Linked DNA regions of Diceros bicornis minor. The protein of the gene in region 1 interacts with the protein of each later gene in a pairwise test. Links are inferred from orthologs where the notes say so. Each region holds a gene or a part of one and is shown on either strand. Other genes may lie near its edges.

Region 1 (8,045 bases):
GGCCTCCAAGGAAGTAATTACAGTCATGCATCACTTAATGATGGGGATACTTCTGAGAGATGATTAACTGATTTTGCTGTACAAACATCGAGTGTACTTACACAAAGCTAGATGGTTTAGCCTACTATACATCTCGGCTATAAGGTACTAATCTTATGGGACCACCATCATACATGCAGTCCGTCATTGATCGAAACGTTGTTATGCAGCACATGACTCTAAGGTTAAATGAGGTCATAAGGGTGGGGCCCTGATCCAATAGGACTAGTGTCCTTATAAGAAAAGACATCAGAGAGCTAACCCTCTCCCTCCACCCCCATGACCTGTGTTCACGCACCAAGAAAGACCATGTGAAGATATAGTGAGGAAGCCATCTAGAAACCAGGAACAGAGCTGTCATCAGAAACCAAGTCAGCCAGAACCTTGATCTAGGACTTCTAACCTCCAGAGCTGTGAGAAAATAAATTTATGTTGTTTAAGACACCTGGCCTATGGTATTTTTTATGGTTGTTCTAGCAAACTAATACAAGTTCTTTTGGCTCAAAGTTTTTCATGGGATTGCACTTAAGCTGTGAGCCAGGATCATCTTAAGGCCTGAATGGGGAAGGATCAACTTTCAAGCTCGTTTACATGGAGTTGGCAGGATTCAGTTCCTTGTGGGGTGTTGGACTGAGGGGCTTCATTTTCACTAGCTGTTGCCAGGAGGCCTCTCTCAGTTCCTTGGCACAGGGGCCTCTCCATAGGGAAGCTCACAATATAGCAGCTGGCTTCCATCAGAGTGAGAGAGAGAGAGAGAGAGGGAGTAAGGGAGCGAGGCAGCAAAAAAATGAGAGGGCCAGAGAGGTTGCCCAAGATAGAAGCCAGTCTTTTTCTTACCCTAATCTCAAAAGTGACATCCCATCACCTTTTCTATTAATTAGAAACATCACTAGGGGCTGGCCCAGTGGTGTAGTGGTTAAGTTCGTGCATTCTGCTTTGGTGGCCTGGGGTTCACAGGTTCAAATCCTGGGCGCAGACCAACACACCACTCGTCGAGCCATGCTGTGGTGGCATCCCACATACAAAATAGAGGAAGATAGGCACAGATGTTAGCTCAGAACCAATCTTCCTCAGCAAAAAGAGGAAGACTGGCAACAGATGTTAGCTCAAGGCCAATCTTCCTCACACACACACACAAAAATATCATTAAATCCAGCCCACACTAAAGGAGAGGAGATTACAAAAGGGCTTGAATACTAGGAGGTGGGGATTGTTGGGGGTCATCTTAGAGGCTCCCTACAATAAGCTCTCAATAGCCAAATCTAGGACACCTTGAGCAACATATAAATAACAATACTAATGGATTAAAACTGATAGAATAAAAATCCATGAGTCCACACTGATATAAACAAAATACTTGAATAAATAAACGAGGGAGAAAAGACAGCGCTTCCTTACAGTAGAATTCCAATTAATAAATGTAGAAAGAAAACTAGAAACAGAAAATTAACATTTGGTAAACACCACAGTAATAACTGCCGTAGGCAAGAAGGGAATCTAAAATTACCGCATGAAAGTAAGATTGAAAAAACAAATAAGGTATTCACATAGCCTCAAAGTTTCTCCCAAGCTACTATTAATTTAAAAAGAAAAATTTTTATCTTTACAGTGGAGAAATATGACAAATATCAACTTAAAGTGATCAGACTTTACCAGTAACAAGACTTACCAATGTCATGTACCTCCTGGTACGACGCACTGAGGGCAGAACATCACTCTGTAACAGTCTTGCCAAAAATGCATAACCTTAATCTCATCAATCAGAAAACCCAAACTGAAGGATAGTCTACAAAATAACTTGCCCATACTCTTGAAAAGTGTCAAGGTCATCAAAGACAAAGAAAGACTAAAGAATTGTCTAAGATTGCAGGATGCTAAGGTGACAAGACAAGCAAATGCAACATGGGATCCTAAATCGGATCCTGGATCAGAAAAAGGCTGTTAGCTGGACAATTAGCAAAATTTAAGTAAAGTCTGTAAATTAGTTAATAGTATTGTATACACGTTAATTTTCTGGATTAGATAATTGCATTACAGTTATGTAATATGCTAATATTAGGGGAAGCTGGGTGAAGCGTATACAAGAACTGTGTATTGTTGTTATTATATTTTAAACAGCTTTACAGACATAAAATTTACCCATTAGTAATCACTCCCTATTCCCCACCCTCCCTTAGCCTTAGGCAATCACTAATCTACTTTCTGTCTCTGTAGAGTTGCCTATTCTGGACATTTCATATCAATGGAATCACACAATATGTGGTCTTCTGCGACTGGCTTCTTTCATTTAGCATGTTTTCAAGGTTCACATGTTGAATTGTGTCCCCCCAAAATATGCTAAAGTCCTAATCCCCAGTACCTGTGTACGTGACTTTATTTGAAATTCGGGTCTTTGCAGACGTCAAGTTAAGATGAGGTCATTAGGGTGGGCCCTAATCCACTATGATTGAGTCCTCATAAAAAGGGGAAATTTGGACACAGAAACAGACACACATACAAGGAAGACAATGTCAAGACACAAGGAGAACACCATCTGTAAGCCAAGGAATGCCTGAGGCTACCAGAAACTAGAAGAGAGAGGTGGAAAAAAGATCCTCCCTCACAGCCCTCAGAAGGAACCAACCCTACCAATACCTTGATTTCAGACATCTAGCCTCCAAAACTGTGAGACAATAAATTTCTATTAAGCCACCCAGTTTGTAGTACTTCGTTACATCAACCACAGCAATCTAATATACCCATGTTGTAGCATATATCAGTACTTCATTCTTTTTATTGCCAAAATATTCCATTTTGTGGATATATCATATTTTGTTTATCCATTAAACATTTGGGTTGTTTTGACCTTTTGGCTATTATCAATCACACTGCTATAAACATTTGTGTACAAGTTCCTGTGTGGACATGTTTTAATCTCTCTTGGGTATAAACCTAAGAAAGGAATTGCAAGGTCATATAACTTTAACTTTTTAAGGAACTGCCAAACTGTTTTCCAAAGTGGCTGCACCATTTTACATTCCCACCAGTAAAGTGTGCAAGTTCCAAATTCTCCACATCTTCACCAACACCTGTTATTGGCTGTCCTTTTGATTATAGCTATCCTAGAGGGTGTGAAGCGGTATCTCATTGAGTCTTTGATTTGCATTTCCCTAATAACTAACAACATTGAGCTTCTTTGTTTTACGTGCTTATCGGCCATTTCTATATCTTTGAAGAAATTCCTATTCAAATCCTTTGTTCAGTTTTTAATTAGTTTGTCTTTTTTATTGAGTTGCAGGAGTTCTTTATATGTTCTGGACCCTTATCAAATACATGATTTGCAAATATTTTCTCCCATTCTGTGGGTTGTCTTTTTGCTTTCTTGATGGTGCTGTTTGAAGCACAAAAGTGTTAAATTTTTATGAAGTCCAATTTATCAATTGTTAAATCTTTTATTATATTTGCGATACTTCTGTACATCTAAAACTACTTCAAAATAAAAAACTATGTATAAAAGTTTATGTAAAAAGCTTAGAAGACTATGTGCTAAACTACCAACAGGAAGCAGAAATGGAATTTTTCATTTGCTATTCAACACAATTCCGTTTCTTTTCTTTTTCCTGGATTTCTTTTCCGGATTATACAAGTGAGCAGATTCTCTGTGGAAATTTTGGAAATTAACATCATTAGTAAAGTCACCATCCAGAGATAACCATTGTTGTCACTTAAGTTTATATTCTTACACAAATAAACATTTATAAAAATTTGGGATCATTTGTTCTATGAGGGGAGAGCCACGTAAACAATTCCGGGATGGACGACTCACTGACTAACAGGAACACCAAAAAAAGGTGCTCCACCAGGGGCATTCAGGGGGGTGATGCCTTAGCTCGCCTTGCAAGGTGAGGGATGGCTCTGCTTTGGTGGAAGGAAAGAGGGAGCCTTCCAGACAGAGGACAGCCACGAGTAAAGGAACGTAATGGGAGCATGATGGAAACCCTTCATAGTAAGCCAGCTGGACCATACTGGATTTTGAAGAGCCTTATGCGACAGGATGTAATCCTTGTAGGCCGTGGGGCATCCTTGTCGAGTTTTGGGCAAGGGACACGGCTAGGGACCGTGGAAACGTCTATAATACATTTTATATTCTGACTGAGTACACACACACAGGTGACCATATGTTGGCCAGAGACAACCCCAGATTACACCTTTGGGCCTAGAGTAACTATACTGCACTTCCCTTTCACTCCCAAAAATGCATGATTTTGGAGGATGCGTGTTATCATCTACACACATACACACAACGGAACTTGCACACTTCCCACCTTTACTACGTGAGATGCACTAATATTCTGTATTCTGTATTATTCCAGTTTTTAAATGTTGGCTGCAACCCGTTAAACTGATTTCGTGACACACTAATTGTTCCTAATCCACAGTTTGAAAAACTCTGACCTAGATGCCTGCCAGGTCTTGGGAAAAAGGGAAGGAGACAGAGAATCAAGTTTGGATGTGCAGTGTAAGGCCGTGGTTCTCAGCCTAGGCAGCGCCATAAAATCACCCGAAGCATTACTGAAAACGCACACCTCCAAGCCCACTGCATTTAAAACTTTGTTATGTGTATTTCTACGGAAAGAGCTGTGACATATTTGACACGTAACACGTAAAAGGGTATGAATACTTACAGACTTAAGTTCAAAGCAGAGCTGAGAACCACTATTTTCAGGAGTATGCGACAGCCTGGGAGGGAGCCCAGGAGGCAAGGACAGGGAGCACGGCCGCCGGCCCCTCCCAGGTGCTCGGCGAGTCACTGTTAAACCAACGAGTGTCCCTCTCTCCGCCGGCCTCCCCAGACCCTCGCTGACCCGGGGGCTGGGCCGCGGCGGGCGCCACACAGCAAGCGACAGACGACGCGGCCGCTCCCGCTCGCCAGGCCCACTCCGCCCGCCCGCTCCGGTACGCGCCAACCGCGGGACGCCGGCCCCACAGTGCCCCGCGGCGCGCACGCGCAGGCGGCCGTTCCCGGCTTGCAGCGCTGCGCCGCGGCCGAGCCGGCAGCGGGCAGCCTCTGGCAGCCCGGGGCCGAGCCGCCCCCGTCTCCAGCAGCTGGGGTAGGATGGCGCTGAAGCGGATCCAGAAGGTAAGGGGCCCTCCCCCGCTAGGGCTTCTTGCGAGTCCGAAGCGTGGGGGTCTGAAGCCTCGATTCGCGGGCGGGGGCGCCGTGGCTCCCAAGTGAACAGCGGCTGAGGTGGGCAGACCACGGCGACACCTGCCGGGGGGGGGGGGGGGGGGGGGGGGGCGGAACTGCCGCCGGCGCCGCCTTAAAAGGGCACGGCGCGGCGCGCGAGGCGGGGCCAGCGTCACGTGGGGCGGTGGGGCGGGGTTGGAGGGGCGTGCCCGGAGTCACGTGGGGATTGCGTCAGGCTGGCAGGTTGGCTGGTGGGCTAGGCGGGGCGGCAGGGGGAGTTGACGGTGGTGCCTGCTGCGATGTTCAGACTCAGGGCTCTGTCGTTGCCTGTCCCGGGCCACGAGAAGGCGCCGGTTGTCTGAGGAATGAGGGCTCGCCCTTGTAAAAGTGTCGGGAGGGCTGGGCGGGGGAGTCGTGGTTGGAGCTGGGTCCTAAGGAATGAGTTGGAACTCTGCAACTGGAGAAAAGGGACAAGGGCGTTCTCGGCCACAGGAAGACCGCGTGGCTTGGCTTGGGGCCCAATGAAGATGACCGGAGCAGGATGCTGAAGCAGGGGATGGGAGTGGGTTAATGGGCCTGGACTGGGTCTTAGGGCCAGTGCTGGCATAACTGTTTTTTTATCTTGTAGGTAACTGGGAGTCGTTATAGGCGATTAATATATTGTCAAACTAAAAAGCAAATTCCTGTTATTTTATCCTCAAAACGAATTTATTCCAGAATACCCAAAAGAAATGCAATTCAGAATGTACATGCTATGGCAAACCATAGGCAAATCCGGAAAACTTTTTTAAAAGAGGGTTGCTGCTTTTATAGAGAGAAAGAGGTGGGGGAGGGTGCTGTTCTAAGTGAAAGTGCATTGGGGGAAGGTAACATTTCAGGGAAGCTGTGGCTTCTCATTGGCTGAGCTTGTCATTTCTCATTGGCTGGGCTGTTGCTAGGTTGAGAGAGAAATCTTCCTTCAGTAGTAAAGTAGTTTTACTTCCTGTCCAAGATGCACGCAGGTCTCTTCCTGTTTGGTGCATGATGCGGTGTGAGAGCTCCCCATACAGGGCTTTGCAACTGTGATTTAGTTATGATTTCTTTTATTAATTTCCATGATATTAACTAGAATTTGGAAAATGCACAGTAGTAGAAGAAAGAAAACATATTCCCAATTCTACCACCTTACCATTTGTTGACATCCTAGCATATCTACTACCAGTCTTTTTCCTATACTTTAAAGAAAATAATCATACTGTATTTTGTATCCCACTTTTATCACATAGCCTTAAACGTGAGCATTTTCCATGTTGTGAAACAGTATTCATAGTCATAATTTTTAACACTAACTTTCTGTAAGAAAGTGACCAGTAACTTAATCAGTACCTGTAGCGAGTAAACACATGGACATGGGTGTTGAGGGACCTGGGGTAGAGAATGAGGTCACCTGTGGTAGGACCACAGGCAAGGCACTTAATCATTCCCAGCCTCTGTGTCCTATATAGAGTTGTTTTAAGACTTAAATGAGATGATACATGTTTAACACATGCTTGGTATATATCAAGCACTAAATATGAGTTAACTGCCATTGATATTCTAAATTCTTCATAAGAGTGCTGTGATGAGCATTATTGCACAGTAGGCTTAGATTTGATTACCAGAGATGGAATTACAGGATCTCTAAGGGTGTGACTCATTTTTTATAATTAGCTCTCCAAAAAGGAATTTTTTTGGCAAATTATTCTCTAAAGGGGTCATCTGTCATCCTAGGACTTTGAACCGGGTGAATCACATGCTCAGATCTGTGTTATAACAAGATCCTTCTGGCGGTGATGTGGCCTGGAGTGGGCCAGAGACTCGTGCAGAGGGAGAGTAGAGGTTATTGTGAAAGTCCAGCAAAGGCTTTGCCCAGATTAATGACTGTGGAATGGATACCAAGGCAAGGGCAGTACTTGAGTGACATGGCAGAGGTAGAATTGACAGGACTTGAAGAAGAGTATGTGGTGTATCCATCCACAAGATGGATAACTGGGTAGATGGTGGTGTCATTGCCTAAGATGAGGAATCAGAAGTTTTGAGGACAGGGAGCAGGGTTGGGGAGATAAGGAGTGTAGGTTTGAACCTAGATGTTTGAACACATAGCCTGATCATATTTATAAAAGGGAAAACTAGGAGAAACAAGTTAGGACCTTGAGGCTGAGATGGCAGCCATAGATATAAGGTAATTGAAGTCAGAAGGCTAGGGAGAACTTGCCTTGACAGGAATCAATAAAGGAGGAAACCAGAGCTGGCTTCCTGGGTATGTGACCTATATTGTCTCACAGGGCCCTTTGCTGTGAAGAGCCCTGTCCCTGGGTTAGTGCTCTGCAGTCACCATGTTGAAATTCAATAATTATTGAAGAAGAGACCCTGTATTTTCATTTTGCATGAGGACTCTGAAAATTATGTAGCAAGTCCTGGAAGAAACAATGCAATGGTAGGAAATGTCTTGAAAAATGTGTCCAGTGCACAGTGGTGAGAAGGCAACACTGGGACAAGTTAGGAAGCCTTGGCTGGAAGTGACAGAGGCCCAGCTGCCCTGGCTACAGAATTGGAGGTCCACAGGACTTTGGGAGTGACTTTGGGGCTCCTGCTCTGTTTCCATGAGATTCTCTGGACTGAGCAGCTCTGGGCCCCATAGCCCACTGGGCATCCCCTAAGAAGAAGAGAGACGCTGGCTTCCAGAAGTTCTCCGAGAGCCAAGAAAATCTTTTTTTTTTCCTTTATTTACTTGTTATGAATTAAGTTACATGCTCATTCTTGAACCAGTGAGTGCCAAGACTGCTTTTAGAATGTCTGGCTACTGCTAGACCTGGAGCTG
Region 2 (7,161 bases), on another chromosome or scaffold:
CATGTTGAGTTAGGTCAATCACTGCAGGTTCTAGAGATTCACAGGTGAGGTCAACTACTTCATCACTTTCCTCAAGTTCTATCAATTCTGCTTCCAAGACAATCTCAGGAGATGGGCCTCCTTCTCCAGCTGTATGGAATTCTCGGGCTTGTCTGGAATTCACCATACTACCATAGCCCATTCTTGTATTCATTGTGCTTTTTGGATCCAGTCTTCAAAGAAATAAATGACCTGTACCAAAGTTTACAGTGAATGTTAAAGCCCTCAATGTCTCTCAGCTGTTGGTCAGTCACTCTCTGACTTACATAAGAATTTAGAGCCCAGATTTTCCAGTATATTTGAACTCTGATTCTGATTTCAGTCCTGTCTCCACCTCCACAACTGCTATGTTCCTGCAAGGTTGGGGGTTGAGTCTTCTTGGAGCCACTTATGAGACAGCTCAATCTGAATTTTTAACTGAAAAAAATGAGAGAAAAATTAAGCCTTAGTAATATTTAAAAATAAGATTGATAGTAATATAAAATGTATAGATATATAGAAAAATAATATATAAAAATATATATTTATATATAAAATTGTGTACTCAAAATTTCTGATAGTTATGCATTTAAACAAAATTTATACTTTGTGCCCCTCCTCATTTCATGTCCTGATGGTAGTGGGGTGAAGGAGAAACCCAAGGGGCAGTTACATGAAGAGAAGCACAAAATCATTAAACACCAAGAAAAGGTCACTACTTCATCCAAGATCCATTATGAGGATCTCAAGGAAACACTTATTTTTTACAAAGTGAAAATGGAGAGACCAAAAAGCTATTTGCACATTTGAGTTTCTAATAACAAATAAGAAATGAATCATTTAGTCTACACGGAGGTTCATCTTGCCCAAGATTCCCTTTCTAACAGAGGCAGCAAGTGGAGTTTTGAAGAGTTTTATCCCAGATTCTGTTCTAGGAAAGAGGGGATAGAGTTCAAGCACTCGCCACAGACAGACTTGGTTTGAGTCTAGACTCTGACTTGGGGGCATGTGACCTAGACAGTTAAAGTTCTCAAAACCTCAGCATGTAAATCCTTTTTAAAAATTATTTTGTAATTCAGATATATTTTAAATAATTTTAAAATCATTGGTCATCATTAAAGAAATGCAAATCAAAGCCATAATGAGATATCATTTCACACCCAGTAGGATGGCTATAATAGGAAGATAGATAATAACAAGTGTTGGCAAGGATGTAGAATTTTGGGATTCTCATGCACTGCTGGTGGGCAAGTAAAATGGTGTGGCAGCTTAGGAAACCAGTCTGGCAGTTTTTCAAAAGGTTAAATATATAGTTACCATATAACCCAGGAAGGCCACTCCTAGGTATATACCCAAGAGAACTGAAAACTTATGTCCACAACTGAAAATTTGTACATGAATGTTGATAAGAGTATTATTCATAATAACCAAAAAGTGGAAACAGCCCAAATGCCCATTAATTGCTGAATGGATAAACAAAATGTGGTATAATCCATACAATGGAGTATTATTATTATTATTATTATTTGTGTGTGTGTGTGTGTGTGAGAGAGAGAGAGAGAGAGAGAGGAAAGTTAGCCCTGAGCTAACATCCGGTGCCAATCCTCCTCCTTTTGCTGAGGAAGATTGGCCCTGGGCTAACATCCATGCCCATCCTCCTCTACTTTACATGGGATGCCACCGCAGCATGGCTTGACAAGCAGTGTGTCCAAGCACACCCCAGATCTGAACCTGCGAACCCTGGGCCACCGAAGCAGGGCGTGCGAACTTCACCACTATGCCACCAGGCTGGCCCAATGGAGTATTATTCAGCAGTAAAAAGGAATAAAGTGCTGACACTTGGTACAATATGGATGATCTTTGAAAACATCATATTAAGTGACAGCAGCCGATCACAAAACACCACATATTGTATGATTCCATTTATATGAAATGTCAAGAACAGGCAAATCAATAGAGACAGAAAAATTAGTGGTTCCTTAGGGTTGGGGATTGGGGAGAAATGAGGAGTGACTGCTAATGGGTACAGGGTTTCTTTGAAGAGTGATGAAAATGTTCTAAAATTGAGGTGATGGTTGCACAATTCTGTGAATACACTAAACCCCACTGAATTGTACACTTTAAATAGGTGAATTGTATGGTTTATATCTCAATAAAGCTTTCACCAAAACAAATAAACACACAAGCTGCCATAGAAACGTTACGCAAAACAGTGTAAGACCATCTAGACACAAGCCCTAGAACCTGGTAGAGAAGTGTGGAGCCCTAGAAGAAAATCAGCGGAAGCATAGGAGGGCGCGGCGCTCAGCGCTCCACTGGACGTGCCGATTTACTTATGAAGCAATACTTCTCTTGGACCCCACAGACACACCTGCCTCTCACTGGATCACCAGCCTCAAGTATTTGCCTTTCGTGACCAGCCTGCCCCTCCTTCTTCGCTCTGCGCCCAGGGAAAGAGAACCCTGGGGACGAGACCGGGCAGCCCCAGAAAGCAGTGCCCACCACCTGCGACCCCACCCATGCACCCTGCAGCTCATCAACGGCCTAGATATTTTGTCCTGTCCAGGCTAGTCCTTGCCAAGGTAGCTGTCCAGCGAGAATAGAGCAGGAAGCGTGCGTTCCAGCGGCGCGCCACTTTCCGGCCTCTCCTCTGCTTCGCGGTCCGGTCCGGTCCGCATGGAGCCTTAGCAAGCTGAACCCGGGTGCCTGGCTACACTGGGCCAGGAAGGAGGAACGAGGTGCTGCAGGGTCAGGGAGAGCCTGTGGATAGAGAGGGAGAGGCAGAAGGAGGGGGCGTCGCGGGAGGAGGTACTCACCGTGAACGCGCCCAGGTTGGCGGCGGCGCGCAGCGAAGAACAGAGCCAAGGTCACGAAGCGGGAGTCACGGTGCGTTTGCCCACCGACCCCACGGTAGAAAGCACGGGGGTTTTCCCCTCCTTTTAATCTGCTATTTTAGTTTCTCAACTGCCCAATCAAAACCCGAGCCCATGGTGGCTCGTCACCAGTCTCTGGGCAGAAAGCGCTGTTCCAGGTTAGAAAAGGGGACTTTCCCATCCTTAGTTTCCTTTTTCTCCAGTCTCATGTTTTCCGAGAAAGGGCAAGGGCGATGTTGTTGTATTTTGTTTTTTTTTTCCTCCTGGTCATTAGATCAGCAACTCCTCACTCTCTAAATAAAAGTGGTTCTCAACGGAGACAGTTCGCCTCTCTTTAAATTTTGAAAATTAATAGGGTTATTTTTGGTTGTTCCAACAATGGAGTGACTACAGGTATTTAGGGGCTGAGGGCCAGGGGCCCCAGCCTACACGCAGACACACACAGACTCTCCCCCACCACCCCCACCCCCCAATCTGTGAAAAACCTGCTTATAATCTGGGCTTTACAATCACGTGTAAAAACATGTCCTATTTTTCAGTTAATTTATTCCTTGAATACTTATTGACCATTTACTATAACAGGCCCATATACACTGAATTTTCCAGGAATGGAACTAGCAGGCAACTCAAAAGAAAATGTATTTTTGGTTTGTTTTTGGAATTTTACCTAGAGATTTTCACCATTTCAGAGAATCACACCACAGCCAGCAATACCATATCTGAATCTGAGCCATCAGTATAGTGCAACTCTCAGTCTTCAATGTCATAGTTCACAAAGATCCTAGGTCAGTTGCAAGCATGTGGCACTTCTTTACCTCAGCCAGTACAGCCAGGCTAGAGCATTCACATACTAAATTGCTTAGCTTTCATAATCAAATTAGTAAAAGAGGCACCAGAAGCAAAGGTTGTTATAAAAAGGAGGTGTTGCAGAAAAAAGGGGTGGAGGAGATGTTGGATCTGTTTGGAGTTGAAACCTCTAATATACACTGGAGTCCTAGGAACCATGCCCACCTCAGTCTACCAGGCCTGAACTTGAGTTCTGACTCCCTGTCCTAGAAATCTAGCAGCTAAGGCTTCAGTACACAAGTGACCTGCTTACTGTGCCATCACCAGTTAGTGGCTGAGAACCCTTCATTTTACAGGTAAGGAAACTGAGGCTGGGAAAGGTTAAGAGATTTGAAAGATGATGAACTGTGACAGAAGCAGGGCTAGAAGCTCCTGAAAATGCAATTAGACTTTTGTGAATTCTCTGAGCAAATCCTGAGACTGTCAGAAGCGAGCTCTGCCTGCAGATTTACCTTGGGAGGAACTGTCCAGAGTGAGGGGAACGTCTTTTACCTGCAGCCCTTTAGGGAAAGGAATTCTTACATTGTTTCTTTTTTTCACCAGCTCAGTGCCAAGAAGTTTTCCTTGTATCTCCTTGCTTTGGTTTTAGGCAATTTTATTTATTCTTGTGAGCTGTGAAAATAAATAACCACTGGGAGTAAAAGCAGTTGCCTAGAGCTTTACATTTTACAGAGCTCTTCTTACCACCATCCCCTTCTCAGAATGACCCCCGAACAGTATGTGGCACAGAGTAGACACTCCATATTTATTGAGCGAATAAATGAAAAACTTTATGAGGTAGGAATAATTATCCCGTTTTATGGATGTAGTGACAAAAAGTCAAGCCAGTAATATGACTTTTCCAGTTTTTTCATGGAGTTAGGATTCAAACTTAGACAGTAATATGACTTTTCCCATTCCTTTTGTGGAATTAGGATTCAAACTTGGGTCTGAATTCTGCTAACGTCTGTTGCCAATCTTCTTTTTCTTTTTTTCTCCCCAAAGCCCTAGTACATAGTTGTATATCACAGTTGTAGAGTTGTAGCTGTTCTATGTGGGATGCCACCTCAGCATGGCTTGATGAGCCGTAAGTAAGTCCGTGCCCAGGATCTGAACCAGCGAACCCCAGGCCGCCAGCTGCCGAAGCAGAATGCGCGAACCCACCCGCTACGCCACCGGGCCGCCCCGAAACTTTGAAATTTTAATGGAAGTTTGAGACAGCATGTGTTATGGGCCCAGCAGAGGAAGTTAACAGGAAATTCACAGTAGCAGACTGATGCCCCACCCAGACTTGATGAGCCCATCCCCAGCTTTTTCATATTTTGCTACTAACAGTTAGCACTTGCATAGTACTCCTAGCCCTGGAGATTACCCTCAGGCACTGGAGTGAGCTGGAAGTACCTGGGAGTTTTATGTTTCACCCCACTTCACACTCCTGGGCAGCCTGTAGCCAAAGACAAGCTGATGTGGAGCACCAAAGCCCAGCTCCTTTGCTTCAAGGCAGGACAAACTCTGAGGCGTGTTCCTTTTTTCTAGAGCTCCTGTGGGAATAGGCGGAGTGCCAGACAGCAAATCACACAACCACTTGGCTTCTTCCCATTCCCTATCCTTCATCCCTGACTCCCTCATTGGTTTCTCCTGGAAGCCCTTTCTTAATGTCACTTGCAAATCCTTGGTTCAGCGGCTGCTTCTGCAAGAACTCAACCTAAGACCCTCACTGACTCTTCAGATGATGAAAATGGCATGCACACTTGCAAACAGCTAAGGATACCTAGAAAACCACTTCAGACCACACTACAGCATCGTGTGGCAGCAAGAGGCCTCTCTGTTTTTTCTACGTGAAAACAGTAAAAAGAGGAAGTGGCCTGTTGGGGAGGGGAAGCTACACATCAGTGCGGTTTTCAGTTGAGCCTGTGTGCTACAGAAATATAGATATCTCCTTAGATTCAGAGACTTAGCGCGTAGTAAGTGTTTAATACATGATCAAACTATTATTTTTAATTATATTTACTAGTGGGGGTTTTTTCGATCAGCCCTTCTTATAGCTCTCCAAATTATCAGAATAGTTTTTAATGCATAAAGTTTCTAATCAAAGTACTCACAGATAATTTACTTCTTTAAAGATATCTAGGACCCAGATGTTAGTCTTCAGTTTTTTCTGAAAAGCCTAGAGTCCGAGGAGAGATATGTAATTTTTGCCCCTAAAACCTTAATGGCTCCATCACAGACAAGATGTTTATTTTATTAAAGAAAGACCTTGAATTTTGCCTCAAGAGTTTACAATACAAGAAATACAAGTAAAAAGCAACAGCCCAAAGGTATTTGAAGTGTGGTTGTTGACAAAAACTAGAGAAAACATTTGCCAGTTCTCTGTATTGTTTCCATTTATGCCATGTTTTCATTAGGGATAGTGAAAAAAAAGTGAGATATAAAAATTATTATTTAAAAAAATTTTTAAATAAATATAATAATAATAATAACAATGAAAATTTTTTAAAAGATAGAACAAAAAATAAAAATCTCCTGAAAAGCTAACCATACCAAAATGAACACTGATAAATGGTCATATCTGGGTGGTGGGATTAACAAGGTTTTTTTTTCCTTTCTGCCTGTATAAACTTTCTATTTTTAAAAATAATGAGCTATACTCAAATAATAAAAGTTGTAAAAATTCACATCATATAGAAGTATGTAGAATAATATTTAAAAAGTCTGCCTTCATCTTTCTCCTGCCATCCTAGCCCCTGCCCCTAGCTAAACATTGTTAAGAAGTTGTTGTGTATATTTCTGGAACTTTTCCTGTGGGTGTATCTGCTTAGAGGGATTGAGAAAAAAAAAAGATAAAAAGGCTAATATAGTTTGTTTAAAAATGTATAAAAATGGTAGCACCTCAGTGAGGAGTGCCTGAGAGGCAAACTCTGACAAGGGGGATGAGCAGGATAAGTGCCACGGCTGCCAAGATCTGAGCACCATTCTTGAGGAATATTGCACACAAACCGCTAATATACAGTCACAGTCTCAGCTCGATGTTTCCTTATAGGTCCTTGGTTCAACAGAGCAGTTCTAGGTTAAAACTGCTGAATTCTAACTGGCATTTCAGTATTACTTTGGACTTTCTCTTCCAGACGTGTTTTTTCCCCTTTACCTTGGTGAATTGTCTTAAGCCATGGCTCCTACCTTACAGCTTTTTCTCACTATCACTTCCTTTGGTCAGTTAAGACATGGGGTCCTCTCAGGCTGTCCTTGCAGTTCTAGAACCTGCATCAAATTATATGCTGTCTTTCTCTAGTTTCTTGGACATTTCTAAATTCTTCTAAAAGAGGAATTATAAGGAAATGCAAAGAGAACTATTTAATAAAGATTAAATTTTAAAAATAGCCAGAACATAAAATGGAGACTAATGGGTACACACTGAGAGAATCCAGTGGGGTCCACAAGAGGGTAA

What was found. The genes of interacting proteins can lie anywhere in the genome.
Region 2: the proteins of UBE2D4 (region 1) and E3 ubiquitin-protein ligase RNF4-like interact in a two-hybrid assay, tested with the Homo sapiens proteins (2 studies listed by BioGRID and IntAct). The link is inferred for Diceros bicornis minor from reciprocal best matches to the Homo sapiens genes UBE2D4 and RNF4.

Annotation. Positions count from the first base shown.
Region 1 is NC_080780.1:1,119,185-1,127,229, forward strand, and holds the start of UBE2D4 (ubiquitin-conjugating enzyme E2 D4), read left to right. Parts: upstream 1-5,041; 5' UTR 5,042-5,134; coding exon 5,135-5,158; exon of another isoform or gene 5,159-5,266; intron 5,267-8,045. UniProt on the Homo sapiens protein: Accepts ubiquitin from the E1 complex and catalyzes its covalent attachment to other proteins. In vitro able to promote polyubiquitination using all 7 ubiquitin Lys residues, but may prefer 'Lys-11' and 'Lys-48'-linked polyubiquitination.
Region 2 is NC_080744.1:41,883,285-41,890,445, reverse strand, and holds the start of E3 ubiquitin-protein ligase RNF4-like, read right to left. Parts: upstream 3,030-7,161; 5' UTR 2,835-3,029; intron 457-2,834; 5' UTR 194-456; coding exon 1-193. UniProt on the Homo sapiens protein: E3 ubiquitin-protein ligase which binds polysumoylated chains covalently attached to proteins and mediates 'Lys-6'-, 'Lys-11'-, 'Lys-48'- and 'Lys-63'-linked polyubiquitination of those substrates and their subsequent targeting to the proteasome for degradation.